Caenorhabditis elegans: one gene and its partner. The protein of the gene in region 1 interacts with the protein of each later gene in a pairwise test. Each region holds a gene or a part of one and is shown on either strand. Other genes may lie near its edges.

Evidence for each region.
Region 2: the proteins of npp-20 (region 1) and sec-16A.1 interact in a two-hybrid assay, tested with the Caenorhabditis elegans proteins (2 studies listed by BioGRID).

The regions. Positions count from the first base shown.
Region 1 is NC_003282.8:1,489,995-1,497,940, reverse strand, and holds npp-20 (Protein SEC13 homolog), read left to right. Parts: upstream 1-1,918; 5' UTR 1,919-1,933; coding exon 1,934-1,981; intron 1,982-2,050; coding exon 2,051-2,125; intron 2,126-2,214; coding exon 2,215-2,336; intron 2,337-2,996; coding exon 2,997-3,311; intron 3,312-5,626; coding exon 5,627-5,897; intron 5,898-6,992; coding exon 6,993-7,103; 3' UTR 7,104-7,288; downstream 7,289-7,946.
Region 2 is NC_003281.10:9,124,136-9,131,452, reverse strand, and holds sec-16A.1 (Protein transport protein sec-16A.1), read right to left. Parts: upstream 5,615-7,317; coding exon 5,600-5,614; intron 5,227-5,599; coding exon 5,187-5,226; intron 5,133-5,186; coding exon 5,033-5,132; intron 4,974-5,032; coding exon 4,806-4,973; intron 4,761-4,805; coding exon 4,166-4,760; intron 4,120-4,165; coding exon 4,007-4,119; intron 3,962-4,006; coding exon 3,523-3,961; intron 3,474-3,522; coding exon 3,318-3,473; intron 3,273-3,317; coding exon 2,997-3,272; intron 2,951-2,996; coding exon 2,745-2,950; intron 2,698-2,744; coding exon 1,626-2,697; intron 1,571-1,625; coding exon 1,421-1,570; intron 1,369-1,420; coding exon 1,083-1,368; intron 1,034-1,082; coding exon 951-1,033; 3' UTR 646-950; downstream 1-645. Other genes in the region: ZK512.10 (DUF4752 family protein), read right to left, coding at 145-195, 248-360, 408-498, 545-559; Protein ced-11, read right to left, coding at 6,401-6,685, 6,734-7,300. UniProt on the Caenorhabditis elegans protein: Plays a role in the organization of the endoplasmic reticulum exit sites (ERES), also known as transitional endoplasmic reticulum (tER).

The DNA of each region.
Region 1 (7,946 bases):
CCTCGTCCCTCGTGAGGAAAAAGTTGCAGTGTTTTTCGGTTAAAAACCTCGAATTTCCGAGATTTGTCGATTTTCTTCGGAAAAACTATGTACTTTAACAAATTTACAGGGATTTTTTTGGAAAATTTCTGGAATTTTCCAACTTTCTCGCAAAAAATTTAAAATTATCGATTTTTTGATAATTTATCTATCAAATCAAGTGGCAGAAAGGAGAAAAACAATAAAAAGGGCAGTCCGCACGTGCAGAATTGAAGAGAAAGAGGACCTCAGCCAGGGTGAGAGAGTGTAGAGGGTGTGGAGACGCAGACACTGAAAGAAGGGGGTTCAGAGATGTGGAGAGTGCAGAGATGTTGGTGTGATGAAGACTTGGCAGTGTGCCAAATGATATTTTTTATGGAATATGATGCAATTGTGCTCTGTTGATAATTTTTGGGGTGGCAGGATTCTTTTGGGGGAAATTATTGATTTTTTTTTTCTTTAAATTTGATTTTTCTATAAAAAAAATTGGATTTTCTATAAGAATTTAGATAAATAATAGTTTTCTTATATTTGCTTTAATGATTTTTCGGCACAAATAACAGATTTTTTCAAAAAAAAATTTTTTTTTACTTTTTGGGGATTTTTATCGGAAATTTGAAAAAAACTGAAACTTACGATTTTGATGCTTCTTGAAACTATTATTTTTCGAAACTTTTTTCAAAAAAATTCTGGAAATTATTGATTTTTGTCCTAAAAATTTTTAAAACCCCGAAATTCTATCGAAAAATAATTCAACATTTTTAGATTTTGCGTGAAAACTCTGTTAGAATATCGACTTTTCTGTCAATTTTCAATTTTTTTCCGCAAAAACTGCCAGAATTTCCTCAAATAGTTCATTTTCGATTGAATTTCCAAATTAATCCGAAAAATCGATAATTTTTTGATTTTTAACTGGATTTTTCGATAGAAACGTTAACTTTGCTGACTTTCTAAAATTTTTACAAAAAAAAACATTTTAAAAAACGTTGGAAAACACATAAAATTCGAGTTTTTCGGCTGGAAATTGGGGAAAACACAAAAAAAAACAAAATGTTCTACAGTAACCTTGAAACTGCGCGTCGGGTTAGATGCATTGATACGCAATTGCGTACAATGCATTTTACTTGCCGCGCACACTTTTTGGAATTATTTTCAGCAAAAATTGCAATTTTTCAAGTATTTCAGCGAAGAAATTGAAAAAAATAAGATAATTGCAAAAATACAAGCGGGTTTTAAAGTTTTCTTTTTAAAAATCTCAAGTTTCTCAATAAAAATATAGAAAACATGTTTTAAAACAGGAATAAGCGAAAAACTATTATAATTTATTGATTTTCGCCTCCAAATCACGCTAGAAAATCAAACTGATGATCATGACAGAAAGAAATGATCGTAAAAATTGCGCTGACGACGTCACGCGACCCGCAATAAGACACACGGAGGCTAAGCACAAAATATAATGTGTTTTTTTTTCATTTGAATCTTTTTTTCAGACTTCAAAGTACGGCGTGTTGATATTGATGATCAGAAGAAAAAATCAAAACAGAAGAAAAAACAAGGACAATATAATTAAGAAAGTTGTTTTTCAGAACTTTGATCTTTTAATCTGTGTTGAAAGGTTCCCTGAGTTGTTTTTGATTTAAAATCTTAAAAAGTAGAACTAGAAATTGTTATTTTTATCAAATTATCAACAATTTCCCATTCGAATTCTCCAGGTTTCCATCAATTATTATTTTCTCGTGATTAAATCCACGTTCCTTGGCGCACGAGAAACACGCCAGCTATCGTTTGCTGGCGCGTTTCTCGTGTTGACGCGTTTCTCGATCGTTCCAACTTGCAATTTTTAAATTCAATTTTTGCCGAAATTCACTCAATTTTTAGCGATTTTTTTCGAAATTTCTAGATTTTCAGCTGAAAAATGACCACGGTCCGCCAGAGAATCGATACACAACATCGTGACGCAATTGTAAGTCGGAAAATCTGAATTTTAGCTAAGAAAATCTATTTTTTTTTTTTAAATTCTGAAAAATTGCAGCACGACGCTCAGCTCAACATCTACGGAAGCCGACTCGCCACGTGTGGATCTGACCGTCTTGTGAAGATTTTTGAGGTCAGGAAAGGCGAAAAATCTTGGATTTTCTGCAAAAATCCCAGAATTTTCATAATTTCAACGCAAAAAAAAATATAAAAATATTACAGGTTCGCCCAAATGGCCAGTCATATCCGATGGCGGAGCTTGTCGGACACAGTGGTCCCGTTTGGAAAGTCTCATGGGCTCATCCGAAATATGGAGGACTTCTTGCCTCCGCTTCCTATGATAAGTACGGAATATTTGGAAAAAAAAACGGAAAAATGATCAAAATTTGCTAGATTCGATCAGAATTTCATAAAAATACGCTAAAATCTCTGTTTTTAATCGGTTTTCAGCTCATTTTTTGGGTTTTTTGCCAAAAATTGGTTAAACAGAGTGATTTTGGAAGAAAATGGACACAAATATTGAAAAATGCAGCCTATTTCTGAAATTTCAATGAGTTTGATCATTTTTCACCGATTTTACGCTATTTTCCCTTTAAATTCACGGATTATTTAAAGAAAAATCAGTATTTTCGGTCAATTTTCACAGTTTTTTTTTGAATTTCAAGCCTAATTTCCCTCAAATCCACCAAAATTTTAAAAACTTCAACGGGTTTTATGAAATTTTTACCGATTTTCTGCAATTTTTTCCCGAATTTTAGTCGATTTCTGCCCCGATTTTTGTAATTTTTATCGATTTTATTCAATTTTCATAGTTTTTTTTTCGGAATTTTGAGCCAATTTACCCCCCAATCCAACGTTTTTTTCTGGAATTTCCATGAATTTCAGTAGTTTTTCACGGGTTTTTTGCAATTTTTAGCTCATTTTGCTCTAATTTCAGGCATTTTTCATCAATTTTCACAGATTTTCAGCCAATTTTCCCCCAAATGAATCGATTTTCTTTCCAGAAAAGTGATAATCTGGAACGAACAACAAGGCCGCTGGCAAAAAGCCTACGAATGGGCCGCTCATGAGGCCAGTACGACTTGTGTGGCCTTTGCACCACACCAATATGGCCTAATGTTGGCTTCTGCCTCTGCTGACGGTGATATCGGTATTCTTCGATACGACAATTCGAGCAACGAATGGATTTCGTCGAAAATTCAGAAATGTCATGAACAAGGAGTTAATTCAGTGTGTTGGGCACCTGGAAGTGCTGATCCGGCGGCAAAAAAACGTCTTGTTTCAGCTGGAAATGATAAAAATGTCAAGATTTGGGCTTTGTGAGTAGAGAAAATGCACTGAAAATCGATTTTTTAGATTTTTTAGATTTTTTTTGACCCGAAAAACGTGAAATTTTGACGTTTTTTCGATGGAAAATACAAAAACCGCAATTTTCTCAGGTTCTCAAAAGTCAGATTTTTTGTAAGCCTAAGCCTAAGCTTAAGCCTACGCCTACGCCTAGGCCTAAGCCTCAAATTGCCAAAACTTCTCGGAAAAAAAGTCGTAAAATTTTACTTTTTTTTCAGCAAAATTGGCAGATTTTATGAAATTTTCCCAAAAAAGTTGTATTTTTGATCCAAAATTTGTTTAAAAATCACAAATTAGTGCAGTTCTTACCGGAAATTTTTGAAAAATTCAAATTTTTCCCTCAAAATTACCTGATTTTTTGCTAAAATCACAAGAATTTCTGAGATTTTTCCCCTGAAAAAGTCAGTTTTTCTGGGATGAAAAAATTCGCAAAATAAAAATTAAATTCGGATTTTTTTTAAGGCCTAAGCCTTAGCCTAAGCCTGAATTCCAGAATTAAAAAAAATTTCCTTCTGAAAAATCAATGAAAAAATTGTTTTTTTTTCTGAAATTCTCAAAATTTACAATGTTAAAGTTAAAAATTCGACCCAATAGCGTATTTTTTCACCGAAAATTCTCAAATTTCTTAAATTTTCACCTGAAAAATCCCATTATTTTGCCAGTGACGACGCGAAAAACGAGAAAAAATGGAAATTTTTCGCCAAAGTTCCAGATTTTTCTAGAGTTTCCTTTGAAAAATCCTTTTTTTTGACAATTTTTCCGTGAAATAACCCATTTTTTCACAGTTTTCCATCAAAAAAGACTAAAAATCCGACCATTTAATAAATTTCTTTCTAAAAAATTGTAAAAGTAAAAGCGAATTCTACCCGAATTTCAGATTATCGTGTTAAATTCAAAATTTCCAGGTTTTGGATATTTTTTAACAGATATTTGTCGAATTTCCTGGATTTTCCCCCTGAAACATCCAATTTTTCGGTTTTTTGATTAAAAAAAAACTGAAAAAATCACTCAAAAAATAATTTAAACTTGAAAATTTGTCCCAAAAGCTGTTTTTTTTGCAAAAAATTCTCAAATTCCAGATTTTTCGCAGTTTCATTTCAAAAAACCCCCAAAATCGGAAATTTTTATTAATCTTTTTTGCTGAAAAATCAGAAAAAAAGTATATTCTTTCGAAATTTTTGTCGAATTTCCTGAATTTCCTCTTGAAAAATCCATTTTTTGACAATTTTTCCGCGAAATTACCCATTTTTTTACAGTGACGACGCGCTACAAACAAAATTGTTGGTGAAAATTCGAAAAAAAAAAAAAAATTTCCCCATTATAATGCAGAAATTTGGGTTCGCTTTGGAAAATCCCAATTTTGAAGCTGCCCAAAAGCTGATTTCCCACTGAATTTTGTCGAATTTATTGGGGTTTCTCACTGCAACTTTTTCCTCACGAGGGACGAGGAAAAGTGGTTTCTAGGCCATGGCCGAGGGGCCGACAAGTTTCAGCGGCCATTTATCTTGCTTTGTTTTCCGCCTGTTTTCTTTTGTTTTTCATCGATTTTTTTCGTTTTTTCTTATTAAAACTGATAAATAAATATTTTTTGCAGATGCTAAAACGATTTCCAAGTAAAAAAAAAATGTATTCAGTGGGCAAGCAGCGGTGAAAGTGGGCAATGTAAAATGATGGATTACGGGAATACAAAACCTAAACTTTTTCTGAAACATGATACATATGATGCTTAGATGCTGAAATTACCTGATTTTCATAACGAGACCGTTAAAAAAGTTTTGAGGTTTTCAAAATTCAATTTTTTGTGCGAAAATCTCGACTTTTTTACCAAAAAAGTTGAATTGTGGAAACCTCAAAACTTTTTCAGCGGACTCGTTATGAAAATCAGGTAGTCTCAGCATTTAAGCAGCATATGTATCATGTTTCAGAAAAAGTTTAGGTTTTGTATTCCCGTAATCCATCATTTTACATTGCCCACTTTCACCGCTGCTTGCCCACTGGATACATAATTTTTTAACTTGGAAATTGTTTTAGCATCTGCAAAAAATATTTATTTATCAGTTTTAATAAGAAAAAACGGGAAAAAGCTGTGAAAAACAAAAGAAAACACGCGGAAAACAAAGCAAGATAAATGGCCGCTGAAACTTGTCGGCCCCTCGGCCATGGCCTAGAAACCACTTTTCCTCGTCCCTCGTGAGGAAAAAGTTGCAGTGTTATTGGGGTTTCCTAAGAAAAATTCATTTTCTTAATGACAATTTTCCTTCGAAATCACCAATATTTTTTCCTCCAGTGACGACGCTACAAACGAATGGATTCTCGAGAAAACCCTAGCCGGACACACAGATTTTGTACGTGAAGCCGCATGGTGCCCGGTAACAAATAATGGACAACATACAATTGTTAGCTGTGGAATGGAGGGAAATTTGGTACTTTTCCGTACTTCAAATATTGAAACTGAAGAGTGGAAGGCGAAATTATTGGAGACGGCTCCGTGTGCATTGTACCATTCATCATTTTCTCCGTGTGGATCATTCCTTTCAGTTGCTGGCGATGATAATGTGGTATGGAATCGAGGATTTTTGTGTGGAATAATGTGGAAATTGGCACCGAAATTGGGAAAATTATGGATTTTTTACGTCAAAAATGGCACAATTTTTGAAAAAAAAAAGTGTACAAAAACAGCGAAAATCATCGCTTCAAAAACGGAAAATTGTCACATTTTTAGCAAAAATCGCTGAAATTTTGGATTTTTTAGCTCAAAATTATGATTTTTCGAGCAAAACCTAGAAAATTCGAAAAAATTTGGAAAAAATAGCGAAAAAAAAAAGCATTTTGGCATTAAAAAAAACGGAAAAAAATCTTACCTACCTCTAGCCGCAGTAGGCATGAGGCAGGTGGCAGGTTTTTGTGAGGAAAATTTTGATTTTTTTTTTTTTTTTTTTTTTGGTTTTAATACAACTTCTATCTTTTTTGCCCGGTTTTTCGTAATTTTAGGAAGAATTTTTCAGAATTTTCGTTGAAATTCGATTTTTTCAGGTGATTTTGATCGAAAAATGCTAAAAATATTAATTTTCGAGCAAAACCTGGAAAATTCAAAATTTTGGAAAAAAAAATCTATTGAGAACTGGCAAAAAAGTGGGAAAACAAAAAATTTTTTTTACCGGAAAATTGGCCAAAATCACTTCAAAATCAATTTTTTTTACATAAAAACCGGCGAATTTCGGTTGAAAAGTATCGATTTTTGAGCAGCACATGAAAATTTCAATTTTTATGAAAAATTTGAGAAAAAGCTACCGAAAACTTGCAAAAAAAGCATTTTGGCACGAAAAATCTGAATAAATGGAAAAAAAATACTCAAAAATTCAGAATTTGCAGTAATTTTACTGAAAATGGCGAAAAATTCGAATTTTCCGATCAAATCACCGGAATTAATTGAATTTCAACGAAAATTCTGAAAAATTCGACCTAGAATTACGAAAAACCAGACGAAATGTTCCCGCCTGCCTAATGCCTACACGTGTGCCTACCGTGCCTACAGGTAGGTAGGCAAATCTTCTTAAAAAAGTGCCGTTTCTACAAAAAAAAGCATATGATAAGCTCTGTTTGCAGGCAGGCAGGCACCTACGCCTAAAAACGCTCATTTTCCAATTTTGCAGATCACAATTTGGCGCGAAAATCTTCAGGGACAATGGATCAAAGTGCCACGTGACAATAAGGAACGCGAGGGAATGAGCCAAGCGGTCGGAGCTCCGGGAGCTCAGAGATAAATAAATTATTTATTTTTTTTCGCTGTTTCTACACCCATAATTCCTCTTAAAACTTGTATATGTACCTGTTATTATTGATTTTTTTCCTCATTTACTTCTCCGAATCCAGATATTTTATGATTTTCCTTCTTTTTCTCTCTCAAAAAACTAATGCGAAACCGGGATGAAGTTTTATTTATTTATTGATTTTTTTCGACTAAATTCAGATTTTCTCTTATTTTTGAAAAATTGGTCGCAGTAGCGCAGTCGGTTACGGGCTGGGCTGGGACGCAGAAGACCGGGGTTCGACTCCGCGTGGTGGGAATTTTCTTTATCTTAGCGTGATTGATACTGTTAACAAGCTGAAACTGAGTATAACCTGCTGGAAACTAGTGAAACTTGAAAAAAATCAGTTTTTTTTCGGAAAAATGCGGAACAGTTTTTGAAAACATGATTTTTACAAATTTCCATGCACATGTTCAAATTTCTCGCACAATTTTCGTTTATTTGACACCAATATTGGCTCATTTCCGAGGATTTTTCGAAAAATTGGTTGCAGTAGCGCAGGCGGCAACGGGCTGGGCTGGGACGCAGAAGACCGGGGTTCGACCCCGCGTGCTGGGAATAATTTTTTTCTTGGTTGATACTATTATCTAGCGGAAGTTGACCGAAATTTGTTAGAAATTAGAAATAATCTCGAATAGTTTGGGTTTTGTGTCATTTTTTTGCGGAAAAATGTCCAAAAAGTAAATGAAAATGTGATTTTCATGAATTTTCATTCAAATTTTTGAATTTCTCGCTTAATTTTTAGATAATTTGATGCCAATATCGGGTCATTTTTGAAAAATGGGACGTGGTGGCTCA
Region 2 (7,317 bases), on another chromosome or scaffold:
TTTACATGCCTGTTTATTCTTCTTCTTTGTGCTTGCCTGAGGCGTCCTCGCACGCCTCGCCTGCCTGGCCTACTAGAATGTGGACAAAAATTAATCAATATCAAATTTATTCTGAACGTCATTTTTCCAATAAATTACGATCCATCAGTGAGCTACTTCAATCCCATCTCCCATTTCGAACGTAATTGGTGATCTCTGAAATTTTGGAAATATACACATTTATTCAATTAGTCTCAATAAAACTCACGACGCTACTCTTTCTATAGCTTCTAACACTATTTTTATCAGTACGAATACCGTAGTGATCAGCGACCGAAGGTGAATGTTTCGCTGCTCCATTCACTGCGATAGATGCTCCTTCTGAAAATCTTTTTTCTGGAAACTGCCTGAAAATAATTGTGACCTACTGGCTACGGTATCCCACCAAGTAGTCATTCTGAGCGAGTTGTAGAGAGAAAAACCGACGAGAAGAAGCTCGAAGAGCACTGAGTACCAAGACTTTAAATATTCGAACATCAATCAGAAATATTAAGAGAAAACTCACGTCCAGTTGATACATTTTCGAATTTGCGAAATAATGGTATTCGATTAGTTTTTTGTTTTGTTTTTAATTCGATTTCAAATGTAAAATTCAAATAGTGATTTCACGGTACATTATATTTATTCATTTCAGTATATATTTATTTACCAGAGAATCAATTCAGAGCACATATTTTCTCGTCAGAACAAAGAAAAACTAGCCTACTTATTTTTCAGATAAAACCGTAACATATATAGTTGCACAACAAAAAAGAAGGAAGATACTATGGAATAATCACAGAAGTTTTTAGAGGAAACGGGCCTGACCAGATAACAGGAAATGGTTATTTGAAAGAATGATAGTGGGTGGGAGGGGGATACAAAAGGCGATGGGGACGACAACACATATAATTTGGAAGAATTGAAGCATATTAATCGTTATTCTGTTTGGATAATGATTCGGAAGGAGCCGTTGGTTCACCGCTGAATGGATCAACATATTCGGAGGAATCATCTGAAAATGAAATTAATTGAAGAAAAAACTAATTCTCAATTAATTATACCTTCAGTGGGTGCAGGCATAAAGCTGAATGACATTGGCATGGTTGGAGGCATCATCGGTGGCATTCCAGTGTCCATAGCTGGTGCTTGGCTAGTGGCCATTCCCGATTGAAGATATCGTGATCCAACTCCACTTCTAGCACTTCGCAGACTATTCGTGCTCGATTTGTTAGAATCAGGACCTCCACCCATCAAATGAGGAGCTGACATGACTGGCGGTGGAGCAGCTACGACCTCTTCTTCTACTCCAGCACCAACATATCTTTTCTGAACAGGATCCCAAACGATCTGAACAAATGAATATTTGATATTCAAAAAATCGGCTTTCAAATTAACATACACTTGGCTTTGAATCGTCAGGCAGGATCATTTGGTTTGCTGATGGAATCGATTTGATGACTTTTTCCTTAATCGATCCGAACCATCCTTTAGATGCTTTTCGTTCATTCAATGCAAGTTCAGGTTGTTTCTGTGGGACAGGCGGCGCAGTCTTTAATAATTAAAAATAATTACTTGTCATTCTGAAGGTTTCACAGAAAACTCACAGTTTTAGCATTTGGAATAGATGCTTGTCCTAGTGTTGCTTGTTGAAGAACCGGAGCAGAAGAAACGGCTGGTGGTGGTGTTGGTACACTTGGAGCTGTTGGGTTTGCAAAGTTAGGTGCAGGCGAATAAGATGGTTGAATATTTCGCGGTGCAGGTGGATATGAAGTTTGATTGCTTGGCGGTGAAGTGTCCCATAAATCATCCAGTTCCGAACGAGGACTTTTTGCAATGCTGGCGTCAACAGGTTTCGGAATAGGAATAGGTTGAGGTGATACCATGATTGGAGTACTGACAGGTGGAATAGGCATCGATAACGTTGGCATCGGTGGCTTCACAATCGCTGGAGGCGTCATCTCAGGAACAACATTTTTAGAAATTGGTGGTGGTGTTGAGATTGGTTTTTCGATAGTTTTTGGAAGGGATGGTGGTGGTGGTAAAGTGGATGAGGTCAACGTTGAAGTTCTTGATGCTGACGCAGCGACAGTAACCGAAGAATCGGATTTATCTGTAAATGTCGATTCAGATGACGATTCAGTAACCAGGGTAGGTGGAGGCAAAGAAGCACGTCCGGGTGCAATTGGTTTCTCGACAGTTTTATCGTTATGTTGTTGATCGTTACGTGATCCAATCTCCAGCGGCGCTTGATGCTCATCATGCCATTTTTTAGCTTCAGACGAAATAGATTTGTTTTCCACTGGTTGTGGCTGTGGAACATGTTGTTGAGATTCTTGAACTGGAGCTGCACCTAGCATTCCTCTCATAGTTGTAATCCAACCACTTTCATCAGGAGTTGCGGCAGCCATGTATTGAAGACTCTCAGCCAGATCGCAAAGATCAAACATTGCATTTTTATCGAAAGCTGCGACATACATCCACAACGATCTTGCTACTTCTGTACAATATCTGAACGCATCCGTAGCAAATCCACCAAAAGACGACAGCTTCTTTGCGTATTCAATACGAGCTAACTGATAATCAATCGATTTTGCTAGTGGTGAATCGACATTGTTATTTCCCAGTCGGAGAGCATAATCAAAAATATCAGTAGCATGAAGATCAGTGAATGAGAATCTGAAAAGCATGTTTTATGTTATGCATATTGTGTTAAGTAATCTTACCCAGCGGTTCCTGATAGTCCATCAACTCGATTCAACAAGTTAGATCCACTATGCACAAGGCCGATGTGCTTTCTCGAAGTTTCATCTCCGTCGTGAGCCACTGGAATAAATGGATCATAACCAGCCAGAATGCATACAACAAGGAGACAGAAATCAGCAGCACAGTTTCGTTCTCTTTTTGCTAGGAGCAAGCCGAGATGATAGATCTGAAAAAAATTTTACAGTTTTAGTTTTGCTTTTCTCCTGCCGTACCGTTTGCATAGCGGTCTGCGAGTTTAGATTCGCAAGAACAATGGCCGCATGTCGTTTCCAATTGTTGTCATCATCGAACGCCGAATTCGTCAGAATCGGAGGTGGTTGATCACTTGAAACTGCAACCAGTGTTGCGAATGGATCGTCAATGGAACGAAGATTCATAAATCGTGCCTCGATTTCCTCAATTTTCTTAGCGTCATTTGGATGCAGTCTACGGATCAATGTCATTGCGTCGGCATAGAGTCCATCGGTTATAGCACTTTCAACAGCTTCCTGAAAAATTATAATTATTTAATTAACAAGATTAGACAAAATTACATTAATGTGACCACCAAGAAGATACTTATTGAACCGCTCCTTTGCTTCGAACTTCGAACCAGACTCGGATGTCCCATTGCTTGAAATTCCAGTTTTTTCACCAAGTTCTTCCGAGGCATTTGTCAGCAGTGTTGCTACATCGGGTCCGGTGACTCTCTTAAAATGTTAAATTCCTACTAAGTTCTCAAATTAAAACAATTCTTACTCCATGTTGCTGAACCATGATTTCGAGCAATTGCCAGACGAGAAGAGCATCCACCACCTCACTTTTCTTTACGTCACCAGCATTTCTGATCTGGCGAAGAGCGTCGATTTGTCGTTGGATGTAGAGACGAACGGAATGAGTTGGAGTTTGTCCAGCAATCAGTGGTCCTTTAAAGTTCTGAACTGATTCGATCACTTTTCCAGATTGTTCATCGAAATGAAGAAATGTTTTCAGATCATCCACATGAACGCTGGATGTACTTAGAACATGTCCAGTGATACTATCGATGGTTCCCGCTGGTTTAATGATCACCAATTTTCCTCCAACACCAATGGTAGCAAACTGAAGGCAGGAGTGATAATGAAGTGGTCCGTTGCTCAACACTTCTTCGGGTTGCGAGATGTTAAGTTTTGGCTCTTCGCGTTCCTCGATTTTATGCCTATAATAATATTTTTGCTCATTGTACCGTTGGTTCCATACTCACTGATTGAAATCCAGTTTCTCGCTCTCTGCAGCTTCTTGTCGTGCTTTTTCGTACGCCAATCTGTCGGCTTCCAGTTGCTTCAGGGAGAATTCTTCTTGCATCCGCTTGCAAACCTGTAATTTAAAATATGAAGCAATTCAATTTTGTCAGTAATCTTACCTTAAAAAGTGCCAGATCTTTAGAATCACCATACCCGCGGTAGGAGTAGAATTCACGATTAAAAATTACGTGAAACTCATCAATATTGTTGTAAGGTTTGTTATTAACGGCACAGTAGAATACATAAGCGACACGGTCGATTGGCGGCATCTTATAGTATTTTTCCGGAGGAGGCATCGTTCGGAACACATGATCAACAATAGCAGAGCCAAGTTTCACAACTCCGTAGTAATAGCTTTCACTTTCGCTATTATAAACTTCAGAGGCAAGGGTATTTGTTACACTCCTGGAGCCTTGTGCTCGTCCTTCCATATAAAAATTTCGTACTTCTTCCTCTTCTTCGTCTTCTTCCAGCTCTTCTGAAGTCTTATCAGACTCTCCACTATCATATACAAAACCATTTCTCATTGAAGATGCGTTCGCATATCTTTCAGCAGCAGTTGATCGTGGTCTCACAGGCTCACGGTGGTTGTTCGGCAGCAATCCCACACCAGCACGACTATTCGCGTAATCACTCGCATATCCAGATGCATTTCGAGCTGAAGGAGCACCAGAGAAACCTTCGCTTGGGCCACGTGAAGAGTTTTGGTGATATCTGCAAATTTCCATAATTAGAAGAAGAAACTCCCTTGTTTTAAACCTTGAATAAGTACGGTCATATCCATTGAAAGTTGAGTTGAGGCCTCTTGAACCATTACTCATTCCAGTACCCTGCCGGTTACTCTTTTGAGATACTGGGCGAGCTGGTTGAATAAGAATGGGTCTTCTTGGTTGTGGAATATCGTTGTCCAGCCGACTGCGTCGAGGCCTGAAAAAAAAGCGATGAAAAGATATCGATCGGCGTGTGAAATTCTTGTATTCACTGACCTTGAATGGTTAACGGATGAAGCGTCATCATCGCCTCCTCTAGAAGACGGAGGTGAAGCATTGTAAGGATTATTCCAGTCACTCATATCGAAACCAGAAGCTGAAAATGAATAGTGATTGATAAAAATTGTTGATAAATCGAATTTTATCATACCTCCGGCATTCATTCGTTGTTCATACTTCATAGAATCGATCTGTAATAAATTAGGCGAATATACAAGTTAAGTGTCGAGATGTTAAAGTCTGTTGGGTAAATATAGAGAGGCAGAAGACAAGGGAAGAAAAGAAAAGAAGGGGCAAATTGAGGTCAACCGTGTCACTTTAGTGCCAACACGGCGACGCAAAAATGCACGGAAAGGGCTGCTGTGGGGAATATGGGAAAATGGGAAAATTGAAAACAAGAATAGTTCAGTTTTCCTTTGTTGGAAGTGATACGAACAGGTGAAAGTGAATGGGAAAATGATATGAATTTTGTTTTTTATTCTTCCAAATGGTAAAATAAATTCGGTTTTTACTTGTTTTCTTAATGGCCTTAAGATTTAAAATTACAATTTTGGGAAATCTTACCCTGTATCGCCGCATTTTCCATTCGAAATCCATAAAAATCGTGGGTTTTTGGGAATTTCCAATTTAAAGTTCAATTCAAAACGCCGCACGGATGTGTTAAAAGCGCGGTGCCACGTGAAGCCAAGCTTAAAAATAAAATAAGACAAAAAGTTCACGCGAGAAATGAATAAACGCGAAAAAAGTTCGAGGTTGAATGAAAAAAATAACTGATAGAAAAACTGTCGTCAGTTTCGGTGCTTGCGGAGTGAACATTGTGTACCGTAGCCACAAAATCGTAAAATCGAAAGCAAGGATTTATTTATTTGTTAACAGAAACAAAGTTGTTTAATAAATACGAAGATTTGTTTTTTCACGAAAAGAACTTATTTTGCTAAGGTATCTTTTATCTCCGTGTCACACCTAAACGGACCAAAAATAACGGGAAAAACAAGGAAGATGACGATAATTAATTAATGAATATACATAATAATTGTGTTAAATTAAAGGAAATAATATTAAGTAATAAAGTGGCGACAAGGAGAAGTATTCTTGGTTCTCCGCATTCGCGACAGTTCTTACAGTTTTACTGCACAACACTCCGCAAACCTAACCAACAATCGCTCTACAATATTTAGAAAAATTTGTTTCAAAACTGCTACAGTACCCCTACATTTTTTGTTAGGCCTCTCATTATATGTGTTTTGGTGAGTGCTTTATTTTTATTCTTCCAAGCTTTATTAAATTATCTCTTAGCTATCAGCTTTAAAAAACAAACATCGAATAACAATTTAAGTGAATTCATAATTTATGAAAGTTGTAGCATTATAACCCGTATATTGTCTTTGCTCGGAAAACAAGATCTGCTTGCCATGGAAGCACTGTTCCACGAATTGCACTCGTAGGAAGCCACGAATAACCGATAATTGTGGTTATTATACGTCGTTCTCGGAGAGAAATAGCCCAAACATCATGCTCCGTCCACGCGTTGTCTGTATCGTTTTCATTTTCTGCAACTTCTGAAGCCAAATGAGCAGGACTCGTGTCATTGGATGGTATTCTTTTGTCCGCAGTGATAATTGAGCTATCCAAACGTCGCATTGAAAACATCTGAAAATACATCACAAATTTTTAAAAGTAATCTTTTTGGTTACTTACATGAGCGTCAGAATCTGAAATTCCAATCATCTTCAAAATAGATGTCAGATGTTCATCTTTCGACGAGTTCTCCAGATGCCATTCATTTGGAATATTCTTCTGACTATCAACTAGAACTTGACATTTCGCTTCAACTCCACCACTCAAAACGACATAATAACAACGTCGATTAGCACCAAATCTCGGATGATTTCCTCTTCCAGCCATTCCAGTTCGACCATTCGGATTCAATGGGAAGCCGGCAGCTGAGAGCTTCCAACATTTATCATTACTACTAGTAACATCATTTGCCTGACGGCTTCTCCAAATTCGTTTTAGTTCTCCAACATTTTGCTCCGTGGCAATATCAACATACTTTTGCACATCTGATGGAAAATCTTCCGCAGGCTTACAATAGAAGGGGGGATTGTATCTAGGTACAAGCACTGTCCATGGCTTAGACACCATGTTCACACTAATCTTCAGAATGTTACTTTCTGGGTATTTCTCGAAAAATTGAAGTTCTGAAGCTTTTCGTGTACCCGAATTTTCATATGAATCTCGCAAAGTCATCATTCGAATGTGGTTCTGAAATTATTTTCAGT